Elephas maximus indicus: one gene and its partners. The protein of the gene in region 2 purifies or fractionates together with the protein of the main gene of each other region. This does not show direct contact. Links are inferred from orthologs where the notes say so. Each region holds a gene or a part of one and is shown on either strand. Other genes may lie near its edges.

What was found. The genes of interacting proteins can lie anywhere in the genome.
Region 1: the proteins of CUL5 (region 2) and ASB2 purify together in Homo sapiens (affinity purification with western blotting; 5 studies listed by BioGRID and IntAct, counting the BioPlex papers as one, with this or other methods). This does not show direct contact. The link is inferred for Elephas maximus indicus from reciprocal best matches to the Homo sapiens genes CUL5 and ASB2.
Region 3: the proteins of CUL5 (region 2) and ASB8 purify together in Homo sapiens (affinity purification with mass spectrometry; 3 studies listed by BioGRID and IntAct, counting the BioPlex papers as one, with this or other methods). This does not show direct contact. The link is inferred for Elephas maximus indicus from reciprocal best matches to the Homo sapiens genes CUL5 and ASB8.
Region 4: the proteins of CUL5 (region 2) and COPS6 purify together in Homo sapiens (affinity purification with mass spectrometry; 5 studies listed by BioGRID and IntAct, with this or other methods). This does not show direct contact. The link is inferred for Elephas maximus indicus from reciprocal best matches to the Homo sapiens genes CUL5 and COPS6.

The regions. Positions count from the first base shown.
Region 1 is NC_064828.1:107,556,845-107,564,348, forward strand, and holds the start of ASB2 (ankyrin repeat and SOCS box protein 2), read right to left. Parts: upstream 3,001-7,504; 5' UTR 2,819-3,000; exon of another isoform or gene 2,686-2,818; intron 1-2,685. UniProt on the Homo sapiens protein: Substrate-recognition component of a SCF-like ECS (Elongin-Cullin-SOCS-box protein) E3 ubiquitin-protein ligase complex which mediates the ubiquitination and subsequent proteasomal degradation of target proteins.
Region 2 is NC_064825.1:11,657,420-11,664,987, reverse strand, and holds the start of CUL5 (cullin-5), read left to right. Parts: upstream 1-4,550; 5' UTR 4,551-4,616; coding exon 4,617-4,640; intron 4,641-7,568. UniProt on the Homo sapiens protein: Core component of multiple cullin-5-RING E3 ubiquitin-protein ligase complexes (ECS complexes, also named CRL5 complexes), which mediate the ubiquitination and subsequent proteasomal degradation of target proteins.
Region 3 is NC_064822.1:103,034,191-103,042,168, reverse strand, and holds the start of ASB8 (ankyrin repeat and SOCS box protein 8), read left to right. Parts: upstream 1-4,978; 5' UTR 4,979-5,089; exon of another isoform or gene 5,090-5,438; intron 5,439-7,978. UniProt on the Homo sapiens protein: May be a substrate-recognition component of a SCF-like ECS (Elongin-Cullin-SOCS-box protein) E3 ubiquitin-protein ligase complex which mediates the ubiquitination and subsequent proteasomal degradation of target proteins.
Region 4 is NC_064830.1:91,596,229-91,603,407, reverse strand, and holds the start of COPS6 (COP9 signalosome complex subunit 6), read right to left. Parts: upstream 3,001-7,179; 5' UTR 2,984-3,000; coding exon 2,917-2,983; intron 2,696-2,916; coding exon 2,570-2,695; intron 1,868-2,569; coding exon 1,736-1,867; intron 1,321-1,735; coding exon 1,232-1,320; intron 1,129-1,231; coding exon 1,066-1,128; intron 756-1,065; coding exon 708-755; intron 624-707; coding exon 509-623; intron 420-508; coding exon 327-419; intron 229-326; coding exon 128-228; intron 1-127. UniProt on the Homo sapiens protein: Component of the COP9 signalosome complex (CSN), a complex involved in various cellular and developmental processes.

The DNA of each region.
Region 1 (7,504 bases), on a different chromosome or scaffold from region 2:
AAAAAACCCAAACCTGTTGCCATCGAGTCAATTCCGACTCATGGTGACCCTATAGGACAGAGTAGAACTGCCCCATAGGGTTTCCAAGGAGCAGCTGGTGGATTTGAACTGCAGACCTTTTGGTTAGCAGCTGAGCTCTTAACCACTGTGCCACCAGGGCTCCTAGCTCCTACAGCCCCTCCAAATCCAGCTCTCAGTGCTGTCTGGAAGTCCTGTCACCTAGGTCACAACAAGGAGTCCCTGAGGGGTGCAAACGGTTAAGCACATGACTACTGGCTGAAAGGTGGGTGGTTCCAATCTACCAAAAAGTGCCTCAGAAGACTCGCCTGGTGATGTGCTTCCAAAAGGTCACAGCCTTGAGTCAGAATGGACTCAGAGGTAACTAACAACAACAGGTCGTACTAACTTCATCTAGGACTTCCCTGCTGCCTTTTCCCCTCTCCCTCTGGATTTGTTTTCTTTTCCTCTCTCCCACCTTTATTTGAATTTTTCTCTTTTCCTCTCCATCTGCCCTGTCTTTCTCTCCTTTCTCCTCTCCTCAATGTCCCTGTCTCTAAACATCTCAGGGAGGCGATGAATCCATTCATATATACGTCCCCACCATCTCCCCAGCACGTTCCCCTCAACCACAGAGTCTTCAAAACCTAGTTTATACTCCTGGTTATTGATTATTCCAAAAGAAAGGAGCCAAGGATATGAACCTCTCCTGGGACGCCACCTCCCCCACTGCCTGACCTAGAGATGGAGGGACACTCGGGCAGCCCAGAGACATTTTGGTGCCTCCTTCAGGAAGACTATCTTGTATCTAGCCCCTCCACAATATACCAGCACCCTGTGATGCCTTGGCTATGCCGGGGACATTTGTCCCAGGTACATGGGTGGCTCTGTTTACCACAGCCCATCCCCTGGGAGCTACCAATGTGGGCACGGAGGCCATGAGGCCGGGGGCTGATTCTTCCAATACCTCCTCTCTCTATGGCCCTCAGTTTCCACATCTGGAATGGGAGTAACAATCACCTGAACTCCTGGTCCCTTGAGGAGAGTCAACGAGAGCCATCACCCCCAGCCCATGGCCTCAGCGCCTGGCTGGTAGGATGTGTTCAGTAAATGCTTACTGTTACTGATTGTGATTATTATCAAGTCACTGTGGATGCCTGATAGGCCCTAAGCCCAGGGAGGAGAAGGAGGGTGCAGCCCCGGGAGGCACCCATGCCTGGCCTGTTTGTGTATGATGGATGATGCAAACCCCAATGGTGTCAGGTGGGGACAGTGGCCAGTGCCACGAGGCGACTGTGCTGTAAACAGGCCTCTCCACCAGCTGTCAGGGCCTTCTGAGTGTTTTGGAAGGGAGCGAGTATCTGCCGAGGGCTGCTTGGCCTCTGCTGGCAAAGGTCCTGGGCTGCGGCTGATGTGTGGGCCCAGCTGGTTCTGCCTTGGCCGCTGTGAGCCCCCTCAGTTCCTGCTCGCCCATTCTGTGCAGGGCGTGGGGGCTGTAGTGAGCCTCTGCCCTGGTCAGGCCTTCCTCACTCATCCTTACCCTTCCGCCTGCCTCCTGGATCCCTCACTCATCCTCAGGGTTTCCCGAGGTGCTGTCTGAAGCCAAAGCCAGACCTGCCCTCCTATGCTCACATCAAACCCAAACCAGTTGCCTCCGGTCATTTCCAACTCATAGCTACCCTACAGGACAGAGTAGGACTGCCGCATAGGGTTTCCAAGGAGAGGCTGGTGGATTCAAACTGCTGACCTTTTGATTGGCAGCCAAGCTCATAACCACTGTGCCCCCAGGGCTCCCTCTGCTCAAAAGCTGTCGGTAAATGTTCAATCTTCTCACCTGGCATCATGGCCGTGCAGCTCCCCTCCCAGCTTCACCCCTACTTCCCACCTCTGTGGCCCTTCAGGCAGCTGCCCCACACTTCCACCAGCACCCAGGCCCGGGCCGCCCGTCTGCCCCTCCATCTGGAGATGCCTCCCCGCCTCTACCTGAGGTTGTCCACCTATCCTTCCAGAACCTGCTCGAAGGCCATCTCCTGCTTGACCCTGTCCTGTGCCCCTTCCCTCAAGCACACACACAGAGGAAGAATTCTTTGTCCTGGTCCTTCCCACAGTGTTCTGTTAAGTCTTGCATAGTGTTTCTCCATCTTCACACTGTCTCGCGTGTTTTTGTTTGCAGCTTCTATTTCTTCCCCTGAGCCCCAACCCCGTTGCAGGTAAAGCCCAGGGCACCCCAGTGGCTAGCCTCCCTCCTCATTGCCGTGCACATGTGAACACTTCATAAACATTCACTTGTCTTTCTCAGGCATGGCAATGCCTGTTTGCCTGACCCAAACACATTTCTGAAAGTTGTTTGTCTGACGCAGATCTTGCCCAAGGCCCACGGCACCAACAATAGCATCACTGAGGGCTCCTGCCGTGTTGCCATTTTTAGACGTGCACATCAGAGTGACACTCTGAGCCAGAGTCCCCCGAAGGATGGACAAGCCCATGCAAATTGCCGATTCCATGTCCCCAAAGCCAAGATGAAAAGCCACCAGGAAACTTTACAACTCAAGCCAAAAGGACAGAGACGGAGAGGCAAGAATGTAGCTTGACCCTAAGAGCTTTCAGCTAAGCAGTGTAGTGGTAAGCCCCAGCCAGCCAAATCACCTTTCGCAAGGTCTGTACAAGAGACTTGAAAGCATGCATTACCTGCTAGGCTCTGAAACAAGGATACAACTCAGGTGTAATAAAAGGATTTTCTTGAGACTGTCCTAATTCAGAACGTGCCCCTGCGTTTTCTCCGCATCTTGGCTGCACTGCCAGGCAGCTCTGAAACACTCGCCTTTGAAGCAGGGAGTTTATTTCGGGCCCACCGCATGACCAGTGATGACAAGCCAAACTATAAGATGTTACGAATCTCAGATTTCCTGTTTGAAGATTGCACTAGAAAACGGCGGTCCTGCCTTCAGCTCCTCTCTCAATGCATCAATTACAGACTCTCACTTCATAGAGCATCTTGGAGCTGAGCCTCCGGCTGACCCCCACGTGACGTCATCATTTGTGATCCTTGACATGGAGGCCATATATGGGTATGTTTCTGGAACTACCCAGGAGGGAGAGAGAGGGGAGAGGAAGGAAGAGGAGAGAGACAGAGGGTAAGAGACAGAGAGACGGGGGAAGAGAATGGAGAGACAGAGAGTTCGGAGAGAAAGAGAGAAGTGAAGGTGAGAAAGAATGTGTGGGAGAGAGGAAGAAAGAGAATGAAGTGGGGGAATGAAAGAGGTTGATGGAGAGAAAGAAAGATAAGGAAGAGGGTGGGAAGAAGAGGGGGAGGGGCTAAGGGTAAATGGAGACAAGGAAGAAAAGGAGAAAGGAAAACAAACACTGGGAGGAGAAGGAGAGAGAGGAATGGTGATCTTCTGAGAGACGAAGATGGGGAAAGAAAAGGAAGTGAGACAGAGAAGAGCATGGATGGGAGGAGACAGGAGCAGGCGAGGGTGGGGGAAGGGAGGTGACTAGGAGAGGAGCAAAGGAAAAAGAGAGAGGGATGGAAAAGAAGGAATTAGAAGGCGAAGAAGAGGACAGAGGGACTGAAGGGAAACTGAGCACTACCGGGAAGAATGGGGAGAAGTGGAAAAAAGAAAGGGACGGAAGAGAAGTAGGCAGAAAGGAAGATGGAATGAAAGAGAGGGTAAGAGGGAGGGAGAGAGGGGAAGAAGGATTCCATGTAAACAGCCTTTGGAGAGCCCCCCAGTCGGTACTTGGGTGCAGAGCTGCAGCAGTTGGCAGAGCCTGACATTTGGAGGCACCAGGTATCCAGATGCTGGATGCTGGGGAGACAAAGGGCAGGGATGACAAATAGGCGAAGGGCAGTGCCAGCTCGGGGCCAAGGCACACAACAGAAGGGCGCTTTTCTCCAGGTCCAGGGAAGAGTGTTCCCTGCTTCTGGAAAGGTCAAATGGCACGATATGTCAGCACCAGGTGGCAAAGACCATGGCAACAGCCACACTCATTGGGCTTCCCATGTGTCCAGCCCGCTGCCTGGTGAGCATAGGGTGTGTGATGCACCCCACATATGCTTTCAGTCCCAGGCGCAGAGTCAGGGGCAGGAGATGTCTATGTCGCTGAATGAAAATCATTCCAACTTCAAGAGCCCATTCCCCTCAGAGGATATTGGGTTTATAACAGCCATAGCCTAGTTTCTTATCAACTCCAGCTCAGGAGAATTTCAGCACACCTTTATACTCACTTTGAATATCCTACCTGAGAATAAATCCCAGTGTATACAGGGTGCCCTGGGGTTGGGTCAGAGTTCTGGAGGTCTGGTCTGGGGCAAGGATGGGAGAGACATCATCAGTTCCTGACAGTCTCCCAGCTACTATGACACCTCCTGGGTCTTCCAGGCAAGTGCTATCTTCACCCCCATTTTACAGATGATGAAACTGAGGCTTGGAGGGAGGTTGGGTCATTTGTACACAATCAGTGGCTTGGCCACCCGAACCAGATCACCCCACCTGAGAACGTCCCCCCAGGCCACTGTGGCTGGCTGGCCTCTGAAGCCCAGGCTCAAGCTCAGCCCCTTATAGGCCTGTCATTTAGCTGCTGCCCTGAGCCATGGCAGGGATGTGAGAGACTCGGGGAGGGGGACTGTTCAATGCACTTGACTCTTTTGGGACTTTTCTTGGTAATTCGAAGTTCTAGTGGAGCTCCGTAAGGTGTTCATCCGTGCTCAGATTCTCCACCTATCTACCACCACCGTCTCCCCAGAACTGGCCTGGGTGGGGTGGGTGTGGGCAAGGCACAGGCCCTTCTCAGGGATGTGTACACTCTGCCTCCCTCTGACTTGCCCCTCCCTCCTGGTCCAGACAAACCTCTTGAAGTCAAGAGAGCCAGCGAACCCACTTTCCAAATCCTCTTGTCTTATGCCTGGACTCTGTGTTTGCAAATCAGAAGTCCCCATTGTCCTCTTTGGTCTCTGATTCTGCTGCAATGGCCCTTCCCGGAGCCCCTGGGATATAAAGAGTCACAGGGGAACAGGAAGTGCATTTGGGGTGGGCAGCATGGAAAGGAGGATGGCCAGGCACCTATTAACGTATCAAAACATCATCCTGCTGCACTCCCAACGACGTTCCAAGGCAAGGACTTTCATCACCCTCACTTCACAGATGAGGAAACTGAGGCTCAGAGAGGTTGGGTCATACGTTCACAATCCTGCAATTCATAGGCAATGCCTTGGCTTCCTGAACCGGATCTGCCCAACCTGGAAGCCAGTGCTTTTAGCCATAGCTCTATCCCCCATGTAATGGGCAATCCAGATGGTGGGGCCAAGCAAGAAGACCCGCAAGGCAGTATGGGACAATTCCCAAAATGCTGGGGTGCTGGATAGCGGGTCCTTTGGGAAAAGAACCTGCTAGAATTGTTCTCCACACACATATTGTCCTGTAGACCAGTGGACAAGGTACCCTCTGGACTAGTGGTTTTGTTCCCTCCCATTCTCCCATACCAAGGTGAGCTGGTTACTATTATGTGTCAGCTTGTCTAGGCTACGATTCTCAGTGGTTTCACAGATACTAGGCTGGGTGCTCTTCCATAATGTAATATAATGTAATCACTTTTCATGATCCGATGTGACCAAGACAATTAGTCGAAAGGGAAGTTTTCTTGGGCTGTGGTCTGCCTCCAATATTTAAACAGATGTTCTGCAAAGCTTGCTATTTCTTCTGGTCACCTGACCTCTGGGATGTAAGCCTTCAGCAGTCTTGGCCTGCCACCTGACGTGCAGAGTTTGGATTCGCCAGCTCCCACAACCCCATGAGCCAGCAGAGGCCTCCAGCCTGCCGCTGGACCCATGAACTTGGGACTTGCCATGAATTTGGGACTTGCCAGCCCCCACAGTTGCGTAAGGCATTTCCTTGAGGTAAATCTCTCTACGTATATTTATATATACTTTTCAGTGGTTTTGCTCCTCTAGAGAACTCAGACTGACACACAGGCACCTGGTATACCCCCATCTCCTTCTCTTGGCACCGATCCTGCTCATGACTCATCAGCAGTGGGGCCTTTTGCTGGGGTTTCAGCCAAGGCCATCATTTCAGGCATGAAAGATCTTTGCGGGGTGTCTTAGTTATTAGTGCTGCTATGATAGAAATACCACCAGTGGGTAGCTTTAACAAATAGAAATTTATTTACTCACAGCTAGGAGGCTAGAAGTCCGAATTCAGGGCACCAGCTCTAGGGCAAGGCTTTCTCTCTGTCAGCTCTGGGGGAATGTCCTTGTCTCTTCAGCTTCTATTCCTTGGCTCCTTGGTGACCTTCATGTGTTTTGGCATCTGTCTTCCCCCATCTCTGCTTGCACAATCTATTCCTTTTATATTTTGTAAGAGATTGACTCAAGAGATTGACTCAAGACACACCCTACATTAATCCCACCTCATGAACATAACAAAGACAACCCATTCCCAAACCGGATTATAACCACAGGCATAGAGTTTAGGATTTACAAACATATTTTGAGGGGGCACAATTCAACCCACAGCAGGGGGTTGCATCATCTGGAGATAGAACCTTGCCAGGTACTTTCACATTCTGGTCCTCATCTGAGACGTAGAACAGGTGTCAGGTGGACAGGAATGGGAGTGTCATTCCCAGGGTCCAGATGAGAGTACCAAGAGTGTGACGGTGGCAGAGCCAAGGCTTGACCCTGGAACCCTGGCTCCTCCCATGAGCCACATCCCCACTTGAGCTATTCCACAGAATGAGAACTACAGGCCATGAGAGAGGTGTGGGGATGAGCGTGGAGGGCCCACCCCTGGGGGAGTCAGCCGGCACTAGCCAAGACCCAGGACCCAACACTCCACGCCAAAATAAAGGAGGACTCAAGGTCTTACCCAAGCCTTTCCCCGTAGTCATCACCACCCCATGTCGTAAGGAATGAGAGCTGTGTCCAGAGTTACGTATGTACTTCCTAAAATGATTCAATTGGAACACAGCCTGGGAGGAAAGGGATTTATCAAGTTAAAATGAAACATACAGGGAAAAGGTCACAATATGTTAACCAGTTGCCATCATGTCACCTCCAACTCATAGCGACCCCGTCTGTGTTAGAGAAGAACTCTCTCCACAAGGTTTTCAATAACTGATTTTCCAGAAGCAGATCACCAAGACTTTCTTCCAAGGTGCGTCTGGGTAGGCTTGAACTTTAAGCCTTTTGGCTAATAGCCTAATGCTTAAACATTTGCACCATCCAGGGACTCCCAAAATATGTTAAGTGGGAAAAAAATACAAAAGGATAAAGAGTAGCCTAATACCATCCCCTCTTTTTATACAGTGGCGCATAGAAAAATGTAACATGTTAATAATAGACATCTCCACGTCTTCCCAATTTTCTACACCCACGATGTAGGGGAAAGGGCAGCATTATTTAAGCAATTGCTCAGGTCTGAGTTTATGGTTGGACAGTAGGACTCAGCTTGGGCCAAGATGGACCATTCACAAATGTGGCATCCTAGATCCTATTTCAATAATTCCT
Region 2 (7,568 bases):
TCAAATGTAGCAAAACTGAAAGAATTTTACAGGAAACATCAGTATATTCACCACCTAGTTTTTAACATTAACATTTTACTATACAAAATGTGGAAATTCTCAAACAGTATCATTAATATCACACGCAAGTAAAATTTTGCTGAAAATCATTCAAAAGTGGCTGCAGCAGTACATCAACAGTTAATTGCCAGAAATTCAAGCCGGATTCAAAATAGGATGTGGAACCAGGGACATCACTGCCAATGTCAGATGGATCCTGGCTGAGAGCAGAGAATACCAGAAGGATGTTTACCTGTGTTTTATTGACTATGCAAAGGCATTCGACTGTGTGGATCATAAAAAATTATGGATAACATTGCAAAGAATGGGAATTCCAGAACACTTAATTGTGCTCAAGAGAAACCTGTACATAGATCAAGAGGCAGCTGTTCAAACAGAACAAGAGGATACTGTGCGGTTTAAAGTCAGGAAAGGTGTGTGTCAGGGCTATATCCTTTCACCATACCTATTCAACCTGTATACTGAGCAAATAATCTGAGAAGCTGGACTATATGAAGAAGAACTAGGCATCAGGATTGGAGGAAGACTTATTAATAACCTGCATTATGCAAATGATACAACCTTGCGTGCTGAAAGTGAAGAGGACTTGAAGCACTTACTGAAGTTCAAAGACCACAGCCTTCAGTATGGATTACACCTCAGCATAAAGAAAACAAAAATCCTCACTACTGGACCAATAAGCAACATCATGATAAACAGAGAAAAGACTGAAGTTGTCAAGGTTTTCATTTTACCTGGATCCACAATCAATGCTCATGGAAGCAGCAGTTAAGAAATCAAATGTGACACTACATTGGGCAAATCTGCTGCAAAAGACCTTGATAAAGTGTTAAAAAGCAAAGATGTCACCTTGAAGACTAAGGTGCGCCTGACCCAAATTACAGTGTTTTCAATCACTTCATATGCGTGTGGAAGCTGGACGATGAATAAGGAAGATCAGTGAAGAATTGATGCCTTTGAATTATGGTGTTGGCGAAGAATACAAAATATACCACAGACTGCCAAAAGAACGAACAAATCTGCCTTGGAAGAAGTACAACTGGAATGCTTCTCAGAAGGATGGCGAGACTACGTCTCACATACTTTGCACGTGTTATCAAGGGGGATCAGTCCCTAGAGAAGGACATCATGCTCGGTAGAGGGTTATCGAAAAAGAGGAAGACCCTCAACGATATGGGTTGTGTAGCCGCAATAATGCACTCAAGCATAACAATTGTGAGGATGGCGCAGGACCAGGCAGTGTTTTGTTTTGTTGTACACAGGGTTACTAAGAGTTGGAACCTAACAACGACAACATACTTGCTTTATTTGCTTTCTCAATTTTTCTATCCCTCTTCTGCTTTGATACATTTCAAAGTAAACTGCAAATATACCTTCACTTCCCCCTAAATTCAATATTAATATCATTAACTAAATTCTCAGGTGCACATTGTGTATTTCTTTCACAGCATTTATCACAACTCCAATTAAGGAATATTTGGTTTGTGTAACCATGCTTAACATCTGGCTCCCTGACTAGACCATAAGGTCCAAGAGAGCAGGGGTCTTCTGTCTTACTTAATCCTGCATTTCTGGTGTCTACTGCATAACAGATGCTCAAACAAGTATTAAATATTTAATGGGATTCTTTAAGTAGGGTCATTAGTTCATTTATTCATCAATTGTTACATCACATTTTGTCACCTCACTTCTCTTTTAGGGTGCATGCGTTGATTATAGTCTAACCTAGAGTCTTACATTTTAAATTAAGCAGTAGAACTGGACTAGGGTTGAGGATAACCCAGTTGCACTGGAAAACATAATTACATAAAGTTTATTGACTAGGCCTTTTTTGTGAGGCCAGCTGAGTAGAGGTGCTAACTAAGGCATGGCTGCTTGAACTAAAAAACTAAACCCATTGCTGTTGAGTCAATTCCGACTAACAGTGACCCTACTGGACACGGTAGAGCTGCCCCATAGTTTCCTAGGAGTACTCGGTGGATTTGAACTGCCGACCTTTCGGTTAGCAGCTATAGCTCTAACCACTATACCACCAGGGTTTCCATGGCCATTTGAGGAGGGCACTAATGAAAAGTTTGTATTGGCCATTGCAGTTTCCACCTCCAGATGTGAGAGATTATTCAGCAGTTTAAAACTAATTACCATAGGCACTATTTTCCATAGGAAGGCCCCTACAACTGAGTGATCTTGGCCAGGTCATCTCTATGAGCCTCAATTTTCTCATTTGTAGAACAAAGATGATCTCTTAAGTTTAGTCTCCCTTTGTTAACATTCTGCCAGGACATTATAGGCATTGTGGCTCTTAATCATTGTTCTATCACTCAGTAATTGTTTAAGTTTGACTAGGTTACTCTCTGAAGGAGCCCTGGTGGTGCTCTGGTTAAGCACGTGACTGCTAACCGAAAGGTTGGCAGTTTGAACTCACAAGCTGCACCACAGAACAAAGATGTGGCAGTCTGCTTCCATAAAGGTTAGAGCCTTGGGAACCCTATGGGGCAACAGGATTGCTATGAGTCAGAATCAGCTTGATGGCAATGGGTTTGGCTTTGGTTTTAGGTTACTCTCCATCAATTCATTTGGATTAAATGAGATTTCAAAAGCCTTCTAAACGATCTTCCTGTTTCTATTCACTACACAGTAGTCAGAGTAATCAGATTAAAATGGGTTCTAAACCCTGCAACGATTTCCCATCTCATTTAGAATAAAAGCCAGCAGTTTAAGGGGGCGCTGGTGGTTCTGTGGTAGAATTCTCGCTTTCCACGTAGGAGGCCTGGGTTCGATTCCCAGTCAATGCACCTCATGTGCAGCTACCACCCATCTGTCAGTAGAGGCTTTCATGTTGCTATGATGCTGAACAGGTTTCAGTGGAGCTTCCAGAGTAGGTAGCAGGACTAGAAGAAAGGCCTAGTGATCTACTTCCAAAAATCACTCATAGCGACCCTACAGGACCCACAGTTTCCAAGGAGCGGCAAGTGGATATGAACTGCTGACCTTCTGGTTAGCAGCCAAGCTTTTAACTACTGTGCCACCAGGGCTCCATAAAAATCCTATGCATCGCAATTGTCCAATCCCCAAATATTCTGTTTTGGGTCGGGGGCAAACCTGATGGTAGCTAAGAATAACAGTGGCCTACAAGGTCCTATGGAAACCCTGGTGGTGTAGTGGTTAAGTGCTATGGCTGTTAACCAAGAGGTCAGCAGTTCAAATCCACCAGGCGCTCCTTGGAAAGTCTATGGAGCAGTTCTACTCTGTCCTATAGGGTTGCTATGAGTTGGAATCGACCTGATGGCAGTGGGTTTGGTTTGGTTACAAGGTCCTATATGATCTCACTACTCTCCTTTCTCTCTCTGCTCCAGACACACTGACCTGTTTCTTGGATGCTCTGGGCACCCTGCCATCTCAGGTACATTCCCCTGCTTTTCCCTCTGTCTGGAATGCTCTTCCCCCACATATAGTATGGGCTGGCTCCCTTACCTCCTTCACATCTTTACTCAAACGCCATCTTTTCATTGAGGCCTACTCAGGCCACTTTACTTAAAATTACATCTTCATCCCCCCTTTTATTTTACTTCATAGCTCTTATTAATTTGTAACATATTATGAATGTAAGAATGAATACTGTTTGTAAACACATATAATACAATGCCAGCTATACTGTTCTCTGTACAAATTACATTCTCTTGTCTAGGCCAGTGGTCTGTGGTCTGAGGGGATAAAGCTTGAGGACTTAGGGTTCAGCATCTTTTAGGAAAATATGCCTTAATGCAATCCAGGACTAATACTCATTCCTCGACAATCTTTTACAGGATATCTAAGTGCCACGCGCTCTTGAATAGAAACATGAACAGTGTCACTTTGGTGCATTCATTCAACAAATATTTACTGGGCGCCTTGTCTGTGTCAGTTCTGACTGAAGACAGCTGCTACAAGCATTTCGGGATCACACAGTTCCATCCCTGAAAACCGAATCCCCAGATTGGGGACGGGGAGTGGGGGGAGCACGCCGGGAAACGCCGGGTCCCGCCAGCAGAGGGCGTACTCCAGCCCCCTACGCGGCCTCCGGTCCCACCAAGGCTCCAGGCTCCCACGCTCGCTCCCGTGCGCGCCCCCGCCCGCCGCGTCACGTGATGCGGCCGCGGAACCTGAGCTGTGGGGCCTAAACCGAGCTAATTTCGTTGCCGGTGGCCGCTGCGGGGGCAACCGTAAAGGCTAATCCGAAGGTGTGAGGGAGGCTCGTGGAGTCGATGCTTCCTCAACCACGTCAGGTCGGCTCCCGTTACCTTTTCACCATTCGCTGCTCTGGTCGCCCTGAGCGTTTGCATGAGCTCTTTCGTGTGGAGAAGCTCCGGTGACCATGTAGGCGGAAAGAGTAAGGAAGCTCCCGGTGCCTGGTCCAAGGTCAGCGCTGTCGGCACGCCGCTCCCGCGCCCACCACACCCTCGGTGCGGGGCCCATCGGCCGGTTGGCTCTGGTGGGAACTCCGGCCTCCAGTTGTGGCCTGGTCCAGCGCCCCACGAAATCTCGCGCTGTCTCGCGAGAGTGTAAGTTGAAGGAACATGGCGACGTCTAACCTGTTAAAGGTAAGACTCTCAATGCAGCCTGGCTTTTACTCTGTGACTGCCGGGTTCAGCTCTTCAGATAGGCTAGGTTCAGGTTCAGCAACGAGATGTGTGAGTGTCCAGGGGCTGCCCACCGGAAGGGAATCAGCTGCGACTGCCGCAGAGGAGCGGAACGCGGGTGCCTGGCCTTGCGGCCGAGAGGCTCTGGTTGTCCCTCCCGCCGGTTGCCCGGCGTGTGAAAGGCCCGGCTGCGGGCTGACGGGGAGCGGTGCTTGTAAGGGACCAGCTCTGGCCGGGAGGCTGAATGCTCGTACTGTGGCCTGAGGGATTGGGCCGTTAGTACTCGTGGGGTCTCAGTTTCTTCTGAAGCAAGAGTCTAAGACGAATAAAAAGAAAATCAGTAAAATGCTGCCTAACAGGTTTCAATGACCAGACCCCCATCTCCTCAATCCCTGTTTTCCTCATTTGTACGAAATTCCAAGTCAGACCGAGCAGTGCCTCCAACCCCACCCCCTTCCTCCCTCCCTTTTCCGCACGACGCACCTTCCCTCCTACCTCCCAGGCCCCTACCTCCTCTTCTTGAATTCTTGTTTTTCCTTAAGAAACTGCTCCCCCCTCCACTCACTCACCCCCGCCCCCATTACAGCACCCAACCAAATGACAGCTGATGAAGTGCTACCATCGTTTTAGGGCTTAGGAAAGTTACCTTATCAAAACGTTTAGTTTTATGTGTTTGGGATGGCAAGGTAGATCTAGGCCCAGAGGGACAGGTGCTCTACCGTCAGTTAAAAAGTTTGAAAGAGAATGAGGAAGACATGGTACTAATTCGTTCTGTGTTTGTGTTTATAGTTAGGAAACTTTTCCTTAAAAGCATTGACTGAAATGTGGATAGTGATCTGCTCAGGAAACATAAAAACAAAGGATAAACTGTTCCTCCCTCAGACCCATTATTATGCCTTCAGGCAGTGTGGATGGATAATAGAAAATAATATTAAAATATACCGGATGCTCACCTTTATGTCTTCTTTAGGCCACTGATACTGATTGCTTAATAGGTGAAACTGTCCTATAAAATGAAAACCTAATTTTACGAACTTAACAGGCAGTGTCTTGCCTTTTAAACTCGACTGCCTGAATTTCTGCAACTTACAAGCTGTATGGCTTTGGGGTAGTTTCTTAAGCCTGACTTATCAGTGAAAGGAGGTTATCAATAGCACCTATTTCATAGGAACATTGTGAAGATTAAATGAATTAATGTATGTAAAATGCTTTAAACAGTACCTGACACTTAATTCGTATACCCGTACCCGTTGACATCCAGTCAGTTCTGACTCATAGCAATAGTATAGGACAGAGTAGAACTGCTCCATAGAGTTTCCAAGGAGCGGCCGGTGGATTTGAACTGCCCGCCTTTTTGGTTAGCAGCCCAGCTCTTAACCACTACGCCAAACCAAAAAAACCAAACCCGCTGCCGTCTAGTTTATTCCGACTCATAGCAACCTTGTAGGACAGAATGGAACTGCCCCATAGGGTTTCCAGGGAGTACCTGGTGGATTCGAACTGTTGACCTTTTGGTTAGCAGCTGTAGCTCTTAACCACTGCGCCATCTGTTTCCACCACTACCCAAAAAAAAACACATAAATTACTGGAACTATTTCTCCATCTGTCCCGTTTCTTTAAGAACTAATTTACAGGAGTTGAGCATCCCATCCTACTCTGCTTTCTTTTTCTAACAGATGGTATAGCAGAGTTGTAATGTATTAGTCCAGAAAGAAATTCGTTAACTTCTGAAGACTATTGTTAATGCGTCAGTGTTTACTAGCAGTAGTGTATGTTATTAATCAAAATGTGTTTAAGAAATAATTGGGTTCCTACCTTGTGAAGTTTTTGACCTGTTGATTACCTGAATATGAGGCAAGCTCTCCTCCTTGCCCCCCCATACTCAAAAGAGTATTGTTTGAAGGAGATATAAAAAGTATTGTTTGGAGGAGATACAAATCTGAAGCTACTTTAAGTCAAAGTTAGTAAATGGTTACCATGTAGAGATTATGGATCTACATCTATGGGATACACATATAGAATGGAAAAACTGCCGTAACGTATGCAAAGTGGACATTTAGGCTTAGGTTAAAAGATCACAAGACTTCAAAAAGTGCTACAGTTCAAACAGCTTGTAAATAAAAGGAAGTTAACATGGTTTGAAGAAAACTGTTAGGGGGCTCAATCACTCTAGTGAACATGAAGACACAGATGCCAAAGATACATTGGAAAAATGTCAATAAAATTACTTTATAAAATGTTGACTAGGAAAAAAGCAGAATTTCTATATGAATATTATTTTATATGGTATGTGATGTAAAATCTGTATAACTAACTTACTATGATAGGTATTGTAAATAGACATTTGATTCTTTTATCTATATCCACAAAAGTTTATGTACTCAAGTTGGCCTGAAAACCTTTTTTTCCCTCTCCTCATTGGGAGATAGGGGGGATAGTCATATATTAAAAAGTAGATAATCATAAAATAGGAAGACTGAGAAGTTTATCTTTTTGGAGAAATGTAGTGAGACCCTGTCAGATAGATCTATAACATAATTCTTAGGAAACTTATATTCCTAAGTTTAATAGAGACAGGGCTGGCTAGGGAGTGATCAAATTAAAATTAGCCTCATTTTCTTTTTTGACAGGATTAATAGGCTTGTAGAATTCTCAGGAATGCCCAGTTTGGTTCCTGGCCAGTATACCTTAAGCACAGCCACCACCTATATGTCAGTGGAAGCTTGTGTGTTACTATGATGCTGAACAGGTTTCTGTGGCACTTCCAGACTAAGATAGACTAGGAAGAAAGGTCTGGCAATCTATTTCAGAAAATCAGTGAAGACCCTGTAGATCACAGTGGTCCCATCCTGTTGTACACGGGGTCACGACAAGTTGGGGGCCGACTCG
Region 3 (7,978 bases), on a different chromosome or scaffold from region 2:
GCATCATGGAATGGAACTTATTACGTATTACTGCCTCTTGCCACATAATTCCCCAGCCAGGTCACATCCAGGAGGGCTTAGGGGAGAATATACCATCGGGCTGTTGATGTTCATCACAGTTTTAGACACAGATGTGGATGGAGGCTTGATGGGTACTGAGTGAAATGGGACTAGGTCTGGACAAGGCATGTAGGCGGCTGGATTTTCCCTGTGTTCTGCTGCTGCCCAGTAAAGAAATAGGTTCCCAGAATGCACTCCCCCATTTTGGATCAGCACAGACTCAAGTACATTTAGTCCCTGTGTTTGGGAGTTTAATGTTCCTTTGGGCTCTGACATAGATTACAGAAGCATAGATTGTTTAGAGGCAATGGGCACAGAATCAAACTCTTTCCATTCACTGACTGCAATTATATGCAGTAAAGTAGCTTGGGGATGGGGTTGGGGGCTCTTGCCTCCACAGAGTCTCATTCAGACCCCTTTCAAGCTACCCCATGTAAACCTGCAAATTAAGTAAAAACAATGTGGTCAATTTGTAACTACAGCTTCAAGTCAATCCCCCAGGCTTCCCATCCCAATCAGAGGGCTGCCTCCTAAAACCCTCTTACACAGAAATCTTGGAGCTTCCAATGACCAACCCCTATGTGTCTGTCAGTTTGTTGTACTATGGGAGCTTGCATGTTGCTGTGATGCTGGAATCTATGCCACCTGTATTCAGATACCAGCAGGGTCACCCATGGAGGACAGGTTTCAGCTGAGTTTCCAACGAAGACAGGCTAGGAAGAAGAACCCAGCGGTCTACCTCTGAAAATAATTAGCCGGTGAAAACCTTATGAATAGCAGCGGAACAATGTCTGATATCGTGCCAGAAGATGAGCCCCCCAGGTTGGAAGACAGTCAAAAGATGGCTGGGGAAGAGCTGCCTCCTTATGTACAGTCAACCTTAACGATGTGGATGGAGTAAAGGTTTCACGACCTTCATTTGCTGATGTGGCATGACTCAAAATGAAAAGAAACAGCTGCAAACATCCATTAATAATCGGAACCTGGAATGTACAAAGTATGAATCTAGGAAAATTGAAAATCATCAAAAATGAAATGGAACACATAAACATCAATATCCTAGGCATTAATGAGTTGAAATGGACTGGTATTGGCCATTCTGAATCAGACAATCATATAGTGTACTATGCCGGAAATGACAACTTGAAGAAGGAATGGTGTTGCATTCTTCATCAAAAATAACATTTCAAGAACTATCCTGAAGTACAGTCCTGTCAGTGATGGGATAATATCCATACACCTACAAGGAAGACCAGTTAATACAACTATTATTCAAATTTATGCACCAACCACTAAGGCCAAAGATGAATAAACTGAAGATTTTTATCAGCTTCTGTAGTCTGAAATTGATCGAACATGCAATCAGGATGCATTGATAGTGACTGGTAATTGGAATGCGAAAGTTGGAAATAGAGAAGGATCAGTAGTTGGAAAATATGGCGTTGGTGATAGAAACAATGCTGGGGATCGAATGATAGAATTTTGCAAGACCAACGACTTCTTCACTGCAAATACCTTTTTTGACCAACATAAACGGCGACTATACACATGGACCTCGCCAGATGAAATACACAGGAATCAAATCGACTACATCTGAGGAAAGACAATGGAAAAGCTCAACATATCAGTCAGAACAAGGCCAGGAGCTGACAATGGAACAGAACACCAATTGCTCATATGCAAATTCAAGTTGAAACTGAAGAAAATTAGAACAAGTCCACAAGAGCCAAAGTACAACCTTGGGTATATTCCATTTGAATTTAGAGACCATCTCAAGAATAGATTCGACACATAGCACATTAATGACCAAAGACCAGATGAGTTGTGGAATGATATCAAGGACATCATACATGAAGAAAGCAAGAGGTTATTGAAAAGATAGGAAAGAAAGAAAAAATCAAGATGGATGTCAGAGGAGATTCTGAAACTTGCTCTCGAATGTCAAGCAGCTAAAGCAAAAGGAAGAAATGATGAAGTAAAAGACTGAACAGAAGATTTCAAAGAGTGGCTCGAGAAGACAAAGTAAAGTATTATAACGACATGTGCAAAGAGCTGGAGATAGAAAACCAGAGGGAAGAATACACTTGGTGTTTCTCAAGCTGAAAGAACTGAAGAAAAACTCAAGCCTCGAGTTGCAATACTGAAGGATTCTATGGCAAAAATATTAAACTACGCAGGAAGCATCAAAAGAAGATGGAAGGAATACACAGTTATTATACCAAAAAGAATTAGTCAATGTTCAACCATTTCAAGAGGTAGCATACGATCAGGAATCGATGGTACTGAAGGAAGAAGTCCAAGCTGCACTGAAGGCATTGGTGAAAAACAAGTCTCCAGGAATTGATGGAATATCAATTGAGATGTTTCAACAAACAGATGTAGCACTGGAAGTGCTCATTTGTCTATGCCAAGAAATTTGGAAGACAGCTACCTGGCCAACTGGCTAGAAGACATCCATATTTTTGCCTATTCCCAAGAAAGGTGATCCAACTGAATGAGGAAATTATAGAACAATATCATTAACATCACATGTAAGCAAAATGTTGCTGAAGATCATTCAAAAGCAGCTGCAGCAGTCTATAGAGAGGGAAATGCCAGAAATTCAGGCCGGATTCAGAAGAGGATATGGAACCAGGGATACCATTGCTGATGTCAGATGGATCCTGGGGGAAAGCAGAGAATACCAGAAGGATGTTTACCTGTGTTTTATTGACTGTGCAAAGGCATTTGACTGTGTGGATCATAACAAACTAGGAATAACATGGCGAAGAATGGGAATTCCGGAACACCTAATTGTGCTCACGAAGAACCTTTACATAGATCAAGAGGCAGTTGTTTGGACAGAACAAGGAGATACTGTGTGGTTTAAAGTCAGGAAAGGTATGAGTCAGGATTGTATCCTTTCACCATACGTATTCAATTTGTATGCTCAGCAAATAATCCAGGAAGCTGGACTATATGAAGAAGAACGGGGCATCAGGATTGGAGGAAGACTCATTAACAACCTGCATTATGCAGATGATACAACCTTGCTTGCTGGAAGTAAAGAAGACTTGAAGCACTTACTGATGAAGATCAAAGACCACAGCCTTCAGTATGGATTACACCTCAACACAAAGAAAACAAAAATCCTCACAACTGGACCAGTGAGCAACATCATAATAAACAGAGAAAAGATTGAATTTGTCAAGGATTTCATTTTACTTGGATCCACAATCAACAGTCATGGAAGCAGCAGTCAAGAAAGCAAAAGATGCATTGCATTGGGTAAATCTGCTGCAAAGGACCTCTTCAAAGTGTTGAAGAGCAAAGGTGTCACCTTGAAGACTAAGGTGCACCTGACCCAAGCCATGGTATTTTCAATTGCATCATATACATGTGAAAGCTGGACAATGAATAAGGAAGACTGAAGAAGAATTGACATCTTTGAATTGTGGTTTTAGTGAAGAATATTGAATACACCATGGACTGCCGAATGAACAAATCTGTCTCGGAAGAAGTACAAACAGATTGTTCCTTAGGAGCAAGAATGGCGAGGCTGCATCTTACATACTTTGGACATGTTGTCAGGAAGGATCAGTCTCTGGAGAAGGACATCATGCTTGGTAAAGTACAGCGTAAGCGGAAAAGAGGAAGACCCTCAATGAGATGGACTGACACAGTGGCTGCAACAATGGGCTCAAGCATAATAATGATTGTGAGCACGGCACAGGACAGGCAGTGTTTTGTTCTGTGGTACACAAGGTCACTATGACTCAGAACCAACTCAACAGCACCTAACAACAACCAATGACCAAAGCAGCCTTTAGTCTAGAGTTTGAAAGAGGTAGCTTGCAGGCATAATGTAAAACGATTTTTAGAAAATTGTTGCCAACATTTGCAATTTCAGGGAATTCCCATTCTTAAAAATCTAGATTTCAGCTTCTTTTGAGAAACTGGGCAACCTCACCATGGTGGGATGGGAGGGAGGGACCCAAAACCCAGTGCCATGGAATCGATTCTGACTCGGGAGGGAGGGGGACGCATTCCTGCATGGTACAAATTCACCCTTCAGACAGGGCATGAGCTGCATGAACTGTCTGACCCCTGCTTTAATCTCAAACCGGTTAGATTTTGTGACTTAGGCCAGTTTTGGGAAGTAAGTGCTGCAACACTCTTGACCCAACAGGCTGCTTCGTTAAACCGCCCGTGTGGGGAGCTTCTTTCTTTACATTCAGCACCATGTGCTGCTGGCTTTGAAATGTTTACGCTGTACACATGAAGCACATCTCTCAGAGGTGCCAGCATGGCTCTCCCTGGGTAGGAAGGGTTACTGTCAGCAATGACATCCGTTTTAGTCCTCAACATTTGGGCTACACCCCTAAGGTGGTTGAGTTTGTCTTCAGTGTAGTTCACTCCGATGGAGGGTGGACAATATCCAGGACGGGTACTAAAGAACATGGATTCGCTTCAACATGGTGGATAAATGCTGGAAGTCTCTCATTTGCCAAAGAGACTTTCTTGGAAACAATCTAGTCTCCTAAGCAAGTGTACCGGTGTGAATTCAGTCGACGCAAGGTTTGGTTTAGCGAGTGTGGCTAAGGAGGGTAGAATAGTCTGGGGATAAGGTGCCCAGGCCGTTTCTCGCGTGGAGACAGTGGCGAGGTAGAAAAGGGCACGGATGGCCCCACCGCAGGCCTCGTCTACGCAGGTGTGACCACAGAGGCGGCCCGAGAGCCTGGGCCCCTGAGCTTTTTCCCACGGTAGGACTCGGACCCGAGCCCCCTGACTGTGGCCGAGAGTGCTACATCTCGCGCCCGCGCAAAGCCTCTGGGCGAAATGAGAAAGTAACGGGTGAACGAAGCTCAGAAGGACACAGGTTGCCCCGCGAGTCTGCGCAGGCGCAACTGGTTCTCGGACGCCGGCCCGTGCGCAGGCGCGCTTCCTAGTCGGCCTTGTCCTGTAAACAGAAGGACCCGCTGCGACAACTTCTGCTTCCGGGTCACGCCTTGACAGCGGCTTTCGCCTCCCAGCTCAGCCTTGCGGTTCGGTGAGTCCGGCACTCGGTGCGGGAAGGTCTGCAGCCAGGTTCCCCACCCCGGGACACCACACCCAGTAACGCTCCCCGCTCGAGGCCCGTGAGCCCTCCAGGCTGTGAGACTTCGTTCCGGGCTTTGGGGAGAGATCCGTGCGAGGGTCGGTCCACTTCTGGGGCTTCTCTGGCGCAAATTGCGCGACCCCCTTTCAGTACCACCACCAGGAGATTTGCCGGGATCGCTGCGACCTTTTGGGAGCCCATGTGGAAAGTGACACCACACGTCCTTGCATGTTGTGCCCTTGCCTCCCGCCCCCTAGCCTCGGAGAGACCGAGCTGCCGCGAGCCCTTAAGGGTCCAGCAGGTGCGGTGGGTGGAGGGCGCCTCTGGCTGGGCCGAGGGTCTCCTCGCGGGCCGGAGGCCCAGGCCTGGCTAGCGCCAGAGCCTGAACGTCGCCTCTCTCCCACTTTGCTTCCAGCGTCGCAGTAAAAACTCTTCGGTGATACCTCCCGATCCTGTCGTAAAGAGAATGGGGGAGAAAGGGCTGTCAGCCCCAGCAGAAGGGGCCCAACAGGGTCAAACCGTGCACGGGTGCACGGAGAGAGGTCGTGTTTAGATTTCCTTGACCGTTCCTTCCTGACAGGGAATGTTGTCAATCTGCCCGAGATTTACCTCTTCTACCGGGAGCTTTGGGGCAGCAGCAGACGACCAGTGATGAGTTAGGTCGAGAGCGCCTCGAAAATGAGTGCAGGTTGTTTCATCAGATTATGAAAGGTGTCGGTCACCTAGAAATGGTGAAGAGTCTCTTCAGTCCAAGCCTTCCGTTTTAGATAGACCCTTTCTTGGAATCGCTGACTCAAATGTCCCTCTGCCTTTTTTGTTTGTTTGTTTTGTTTTCTCCTTCCTTGTTAGAAAGAAGTGTGAGATACAGACCTTCTCTCTGGCTGTTGGAGACATTAAAACATACGCTAAATCTAAAATATCTAGAAAATTTCAGAGAGACATGTAAACAAACGTGTAAGCTCATTCATTCATAGTAGGAGGGAGATGCTCAGTTTGAATCATTGACACATATGAGTTGGATATTTTTCACTCTCATTCTGTTAATGGAAACCCTGGTGGTGTAGTGGTTAAGTGCTACGGCTGCTAACCAAAGAGTCACCAGTTCAAATCCGCCAGACGCTCCTTGGAAACTATGGGGCAGTTATAACTCTGTCCTATAGGGTCGCTATGAATCGACTCCACGGCACTGGGTTTGCTTTTGGATTTTTTTTTTTTTCTGTTAATTAGCACTGTATATTTTTTAAACACATAAATGGCTACTCACTAGCAAAATAGAAACTATTAGAATTTGTAGTATATCCCATCATGTGTAAAGGGATACTTCATTATAAAAAGTAAAAATTAATTATTATGAGATAACCAAAATAATTATTCCTTGGTTTTTTAGTAATCATTGTATGAATAATGTGCTTAATTATTACAAGTATTGAATTTATTAGGATTCTAAGTAATAAGGTTTGTATTGGTTCAAAAAATACAATTGCAATTTATTGAGGTCCTGTCATGTGTCAGGCACTATTGGAAAGAAACACAGTCTTTATCACCAAGGAGATTATAGTTTAATAAGAACAGAGACTCCTAAACAGTTACACCTAAAGCGTTGATACTGTACCCTCTTTTTTCTACAGTTTCTCATATGTACTTTTTCATAGAAATGTTCCACCTTATTTGCTGTAATTTTAAATGTTCCCAACTAGCACCTCTTACATAGCCAAAAGTTTTATCACAGTTGAATTTAAGTATATTGCATTATTTTCTTCCTCCATCCTAAAATTCTCCATCCTGTTGTGGTTTCAATACATACTTCAATATATATTCAATATATATACTTGCCCAAATCTATTTTTCAGTTGTCATAAATAACCAATTGTCAAAATACTTAATTCTATTAGCACTCTTAAATTTGCTTTCCCAAAACTTGAAAGCATATGTCATTGGTAAGAACTTGGATTTTTTTTTACTCTAATTTTATATAGATGATTCCAGAGTGTTCATACTTTTACTTCCTTCCTTATTTTATAAAATATCATATGTTTCCCTTTTTTTTCTTTGCTGAAAACATTTGAAGATATTTTATAGATGCCTTGTCGGTAGTAACATATATGCATTTGTTCCATAGCATTCTCCCTGTCTTTTCATAGGTAACAATTACTTCCATACCCTTTAGTCACTCAGCCAACCAATATTTATTAAACATGTGCTTTTTGGGAGACTCTGTGGATGGGGAAAAAAGTATAAGACAAAGTTCTTGCCCTCCAATCAATTACAATTTAGATGGAGAAATAATATTTATGTAATAACTGTAAGGCCAAATGTCATAGCCTAAAGGTTGTGCCAATAATAAAGATCACAAAAGTTCAGAAGAGGAAAAAATGTCGGTGGCATCTTTACCATTTAAAAATCCCCTTCCTTGCCTAGTTGTGTATAACCACATAGATTTCCATGGGTTCTTAGGACCTGTTGGACAATTCTTGTCTAGACTACTAAATCAGAGAATAGAACAGAGGTCGTGAGGGTCAGAGCATTTGTGTCCAGGTCTACCCAGCTCCCAAAGCAACTACACCTTCTCCTCACTATTGACATGGTTAGGTTCCAAAGACCAGGTTGTTATGCAAAATCGGTGTTATGCAAAATGGAGGATGACCACACCAGATCACAAGATGGAAGATGACTACATCATTACATAACTGCCAAAGCACTGAGAATCATGGCTCAGCCAAGTTGACACATAACCTTAACATTCACAGTCAGCTTTACTCTCGCATTGCACCTCAGGCACTTCGTTACTGCCAGACGTACGTTGTTAAATTGCAAAATAGATAGTAGATTTTTTACTATTGT
Region 4 (7,179 bases), on a different chromosome or scaffold from region 2:
GGAGGGAACAGAAAGAACCAGTTCCCCAGGGGATCCTTTACCGTATGCTCAGGGAACACCCGAATCCCATGTCCTGCATGCAAAAACAGCTTGAGCCCCACCTCCCCATCCTGGGCTTCACACTCACGTCATAAAAGTCTGTCTTGAACTTATCTGTGCTGAGTACAGGGAGGCAGTGGCAGAGAGCATAGGCCTCTCTCAGGATCTCATGGTTAAAGGGGACCTCTCCTAAAGGCACAAAAGCAGACTGCATTAGTATGGAGGCTGTTGGTACCTCAGGAAGTAGAGGAAAGATGGTACGAGTGCCAGGGAGGCACTTGTCCCACCTGCTTCAGAGGCCTTGACGTACTCCAAGATGAGCTTGACACGGCTGTGCAGCATCTTGATGGCGCTGTGCTGTGCTATCAGGTGTTCTGCCACTGCAGGGACAGGGACAGGTGAAGGGGGAGAAGACACGTGGCCTCCCTTCTACCCCTGCTTGCAAGGAAGCTCCGCCAGTCTCCGTTACCAGTGGAGTTCTCTCCGCTGCCTGTGGCTGTCATTCTGGCCACGTGGTCTACACCGATGCGTTCAGCTTCCTCTGTGGCCAGGGTGTAGGTCAGCTCGGCAAACAGCATTGTGGCCTACAGAGCAGAGTACCCCACAGAGGGTCAAAAGCAGGAAACAGGCCAAGAGCAGGATCTGAGGGTTGAAGGGTAGGGTATTACCTCTCCATTGATTATATCAATGACAGATTCAAAAACGCTGACAGGAAGCTGTAAAGAAGAGATGGAGAACAGTTCTAACATCAAATGTGCCAAGAACTGGACAGGGCTGTTTCACACATCTTCTCATTTAATACCCCCAAGAACCCAGTGAAGTAGAGACCATCCCTTTTACGTATGAGGAAAATGCAGCTTAGGTGTAAAATGATTAGACAAAGTCACAGAGCTGCAGAACAGAGGTTCAACTCTGGCATTCCCCAACACAGAAGTAATGTCATCCAGTAAAAGAGAACAGAGAAAGGCTAGAAGAAACAGTAACAGAGAGGCATGGTTAAAACGGCATGGGGTCAGTATTACTCACATCTGTGTGCTTGGTCATAGGGTTCAACTTAAGAAAGAGGGGACTCTCGATTATCTCACACACCTAGAACAGGAGGAAGAAGGACAAGAAAGTCAATGCCTTCTCTCTCCTCTTCCCCTCATCCTCTAGCCTCTGCCCCAGCATGCACATGTGTGAGCATGTATACCTGCTTATGGACGTGGATGTCGGAGGGGTCAGGCGGCCCCCCTGTGGTATACCAGCCGAGAAACTCCAGCTCCTTGAATACCTGTTTAACTGGAGAGGAAGGGGCCAAAGCACATAGTATTCCTTTAAACCATCCTTCCTCACTTTGAAGCTCCTGGTGTACTTTCATCATCTGTTCCCCATCTCCCTCAAATCCTGGCTTGTTTTAGAATAATTACTCCCTCTATCTATAGGGTCGCTATGAGTCGGAATCGAGTCGGCACTGGGTTTGGTTTTTGGTTTTATCCTGTCTTCTCTCATCCTTTACTTTTTTGTGGGGGAGGGTCTGGACCTGAATGTGTTCTTTTTCTGAGATCTTTTCAGCTACTCTCATCTTACTTTCCCTGTTCTCATCCCATTCTCCTGTTTATTTCTTCCCAATCCTATCTATTTCTCCCCGCCCCCCCTCCCCACCACCCTTTGCTTTTACTCCCATGCCTCTCCCCCACTTCTATTCCGCTCTCACACTGCTCCTCCTTGGTGTAATAATATTCCTTGTCAATGATAATCTTCTCTTCCACGGTGTGAGACAGCAGTTCAAAGGAGTTCATCACCTCAATATTTCGGCCCTCCTGCTTCCCGATCAGAGCCCCAATCACTGGGGAGAAGACACACATTAAGTGAGTACAGGTAGTCCCTGACTTACGATGGGTTCTGTTCTGATGACTCTGTAGTAAGTGATTTTCCACGTAAGTTGAATACGTCGTTTTTGTTTTCATTATTATTGCCTTTTATCATCAGTACCTTTATAAAGGAAACACTGATAGCATAGTAATTAAGTGCTACAACTGCTAGCCAAAACTTCGGCAGTTTCACTCCACCAGGCGCTCCTTGGAAACTCTATGGGGCAGTTTTACTCTGTCCTATAGAGTTCCTATGAGTCAGAACCGACTCGACGGCAACGGGTCTGATTTTGGTTTTAGCTTTATAAATCACAACATTGAACATCTATGAGTGAACATCTGAGAATAACATCAGCAAATTATGAGCGACAACACTGTAATACATATTACTAATGATAAGATGTATGAAATGAAAAAACCAGAAGTCCTAAGTGCAGTTTGTCCCAACTCGAATTCTAACTCAAACTCGACATTCGTTGTCGAGGACTACCTGTATAAGGAATTCCAAAACTTTCCCGGAAAGCCTGAGGTCAGTAGGAACCAAGTATTGGGAAAGCAGCGATTCAGGGAGAGGGAGTTGGCCTCAGTAAAACAAGGGAGTAGTTACCGGGGAAAAGTTCACCATTTGGGGAAGGTGACCAATGGGAGGGGGTTGGAAAATTATGCCAAACACTCACCCTGCATAGGCCGCCCCTCCTGGGAGCGCATGCGGATCCAGTGGTCTGAGATGTTGAGAATGACAAGGGGATGAAGAGCGACGGAAACACTACCAGTCACTCCGGAGGCCATCACGCTGGGGACTACTAAGGGTGGAGAGAAAGGGGTGAGAGTCACAGTCCGGGCACCACGTTCTTCCCTGGGGACGGGAGTGGGGGACGGCAGAACCCGGGCCCTACATCCCTCTGCGAGTTATCCCAGGGAAAGATGTGGCCGTTCTGTCCTCCTGACTTCTCCCGGGAGTCCAGAAAGGTCTTACTGCACCCGAAAGAGTGTCTCCAGAAACCGTCCCCGCCGGGCCCGTTACCTGATGCATCCACCTCCATCCCGGTGCTGCCTCCGGTCCCGTTCGCAGCAGCTGCCGCCGCCGCCATTTTCCCCACGCCCGCCAGCCTTGGTCCCACCCCCTCCTTCTCGGCTTCCGTACGGAGCAGCGGCGCATGCTCAGTTGAGCGCGCCTGCCCTGGCGTTGGGTGAGCTTTCGGTTTGGCGGTCTCCAGCTGCTCCTCTCACCCGACCATTGCGGGCGGCGCGGGCGGCCCTGTCAGCCGGCAAACCAGGAGGCCCTCGAGGCGCCTGAACCCGACAAATTTTCATAGACCCTGCCCCCATCTCTCTCCGCTGGTGACCTTGAGTAAAATTGAGATAAGAACACCTAGTTCTTAAGGCTGTTGGAAAATGAATTAAATGTCATGTTATTGCCCTCTGGATACAATCCAAACACCTAACCACCAAACGCAAGGACCTGCGTGATCTGATCCCCACCTGCCGGTCTACCTTCACCTCATACTTTTCTATCCCTTGGTCCTGTGCTTTAGCCACATTCCTCCCACATGCCCAACTCACCCCCACCCAAGGGTTTGTTCATCACTGGTATTCCCGTGATCCCCGTGTATAACCAACACAATATCTGACACAGAGGCATTTAAGTACTTTTTGCATGAATAAATAGGGGCGGAACCGGGTCTCAAGTGGTGCTAAATGCATGTGCTATCTTGCCTTCTTCCAGATATTGGTACCACATTTTTTCAAAACCCAACTTCCTTCTACCCGCCATCCCCTGCAGTCTGTGAAAAACTCACCTGGCAAACCTCCCAACCCACTCCAGCCCACTCCTACGCTCATGCAAATTGTATACACAGCTGCCCCTGTCTAGCTGGCACTTCTAGTGTGCATCCATACCCCAACCCAAAGTGTAAGCTCCTAGAAGACAGAGATCCTGTCAGGTGCCTGTTTTGTGATCCTGCAGAGCCCAGTCTAGGGCCCAGAACCAGCAGGTACCAGGAAATGTGTTCTGGTGATAATGGTGACTTGCATCATTGGTCAATCTCTTCATTTAGGAGTCTGGAAGAAAGGAATTTGAAGGGCAAGAACCTTCAAAGGAAGGAGACTGAGAAATCCTGCAGGGAGAGGAGTCTTCTGGCCAAGGGGAAATTAGGAAAGAGTTTTTTCCCCTCTAATCCACAGTGAGTAACACCCCACACCCAGGTGCCCATCAACTGAGAGGGTTGTTGAAGAAAATCATATATGCCTCACTTAGGAAAAATAAGCTCAGAAAAATGGTTTTCTTTTTAAAATGGTAGACGGCTACATTGAAAAGTTAAAAAAAAAAAGACAAGAATTATTGTAGTGTTAATAAAGTTCACAGCTGTGTTGTTTCACACATTAAAGCACTCCTTTGTCTTTGTTTCAAATGCTCTGGAAACATTATTCAACTCATAAAACAGTGGTTATTGGGGGAATTTAAGGATGACTTTGAAACTGAACCAGTTGATAATACATGCTTCAGAAGTAAGCTTACTGGGCATTTCTTAAAACTGCACTGTATTTTTAAAAACGACAAAAAACTCAAGTTGAAATTTTGGTGTTAAGACAGTCATCCTTAGGTTCTCTTCCTACCTTAAAACAAAACTAAATTCAACGCATCACTTTGTTGTTTTGGTAACTTGTCCATCCACAGGGTGACTATGGAAAGGACAGGAATCCTGCTGGTGGGGAACAGAGCAGAGGATCTGCTCAGAGAGAGCCAAGACTGGGTCACTGATTGCTTTGAGCCTGTGGTGTTGCCAAGAAATTGTACCTCTTTTGGGTCAGTGGTTATCCATTAGTCATTTATTCAACAAATATTTAGGAGTGCTTACTACGTGGCAGGCACAGTTTTAAATGGTGGAGATACAGTACTGAACAAAACAAAGTTTTGACCTTGTGGAGCTGATCTAGAGGGGTGCTATTTTACATGGAAAACTTCTCACGTAAAGTGAACAGGGACCTGAATGGAGCGAGGAAGCAAGGCATGATGATAGCTCATGGGAAGAATGTTCCAAACAAAGGGGACAAGTGCAAAGGTCTTGAGCCAAGACAATGTATGGTATATTTCAGGAATAACAAGAAAGTCAATGGCTGGAGCAGTGTGAATGAGAGAGAGAATAATAGGACATGAAGTCAGAGAGGTGACAGGGTTAGGTAATGTGATGCCTTGTAGGCCATTATAAAGACTTTGGCTTTCAGTCCGAGTGAAGTAGAAAAAAAAAAAAAAGACGTTTGAACAGAGGCATAACATGATTTGACTTAAGGTTTTAAAGGATCACCAGGCTGATGTGTGGAGATTAGAGTGTAGGGGGCAAAGGCAGAAGAAGCATGTAAAAAGCTATTGTTATAATCCAGGTAAGAGGTGCTGGTAGTTTGGTCAAGGACAACAGAAGTGGAAATAAGGAGATGACCAGTTATCCACATGCCTTCATGGACATTAGAAGAAGGCATCCACTCTGGAGCTTAGGCTGGATTTCAGTTTCCACCTACCCCTTCACCCAACTGCCTTTGACAGGGTACAACCTGCACAACCTACTCAGCAGTCCTGTGAGTCTGCTTGAAGTCAGGATAGATTTTGAAGGTAGAGCCAATAGGATTTGCTGACCCAAGGACTCTTGGACAGCAGGAGAAGCATATGAATCCATATCAGTCAGTTCGCAACAAGGTTGTGCCGGTCCAGTATCTGTCCACATGTGAAGGGAGGGACCACATTCAGGGGTTTCCATTTACAGCACCAGACACAGAAGAATAGCCCAGGACTGGCTGCTCCGCATGATTTTTTTCTGTTTTCGAGCACATGGACAAGGATGACAAACCCAGTGTGACTCAGACAGACCATCTGATGGTTTTGCCCTGCTGCAGTGCTGGATCTAGAGGATAAAGAGAGCATCAATTGATCCTAATTTTTTCTCCAGTCATCCCTGATTTGTGTGTGTGAGACAAGGGCATTTTTACAAAATTTATAAAGACCCATTATATCCCCCACCTTGACATATGTAGACCACTTTGGGGGGACCTGGAGAGTAGTGTACTCAATCAAGTGGTCATTGTCTTCATGATCTAGGACCACATCAATCCAACAAGAGAATACCCGTGGCAGAATCAGAATTAAGCCTGAATTCCCTAAGCCCGCTTTTGACTAGGCTGCACCCAGAGGGTGTACTAAGGTTGGCCTGGCATAGCCATTAGGGAAAAAAAGATGCATCATACTGAGGAACAGTCAGGGCGGAATTCTAAATTCTCAAAATAAGTATAATCTATCACCTCTTTCATCTTGATCATTACCCAAGAGGTGGCCAAGAGGAGATGAGGTGGCCCCTCTCTTGGGGGACAGTGGCATTCAGTGACTAGATCATCCTACTAGATCAGAGCAGAAGGAGATGAGGGAAGTAGAGCTGATTTTAGAGGAGGCCGTTCCAGCACTTGGCAACTAGATGCTGTAGATGGTAGGGAGTGTGGAATGTCTATCACATAACTTGACAATTGGCCATTATTGGGCGGCCTTTGCAAAAAAAAAAAAAAAAAAGGTGTACCATTATCAGATTGGAGAGGATCTGGAAAGCCTAAAGCATAAAAGAGTAGTTTCAAGGGCCAATCATGATGTGGCCTGAGTCAGCTGATAGGACTGGAACAGGGACACCACAACCTAAAGAAGTGTGAACAGAGGTGAGGCACCAAGAGTAGCCCCTAGAGGGCGTCAAAGGTCCTATATAGTCAATTTACCAGGAGCAGGAGGGGGAGGGGGAAGGTCTTATGCAATGTGGCTTCTGGGCAGTGCAGGATTGATCAACAGCTTGGTACCCGTCAGTCTCAGCAGAGAACAGGCCCCTACCATGGGCATCTACATGACTGACCCAACTGTCAGATTAGCAGCAAAGATTTGTTTCCACAGTTCACAGCCCTCAAGCGGGTGTCTTCAATTTGCCTTTCTGTAGTCTTCCAAGTGGTCGACCAGCTAGACCACTGGCAACAGCCCAGTTCAGTAAAATGCAGCAAGGTTTGTCAGGGGGAGTATTGGCCAGGCTTATGAGAACAACCTTGAGTTCTGTCTACTGAGCAGAGCAACAATGTCGGCTTTCAGTTTTCCACAGCAGCAGCCCAATATGGACACCATCAATTTCAACTTAGCTAAACCATCAGTGAACTAGGCTCAGGCATTTAGAGGAACCTCTGCGAACTGAGGACCCCACTGATCCATGTCTTTGCAACACCAAGATTCTGCTAGGGCCAGACTGGCTGTGCTCTTGAATTCCCATTTGAC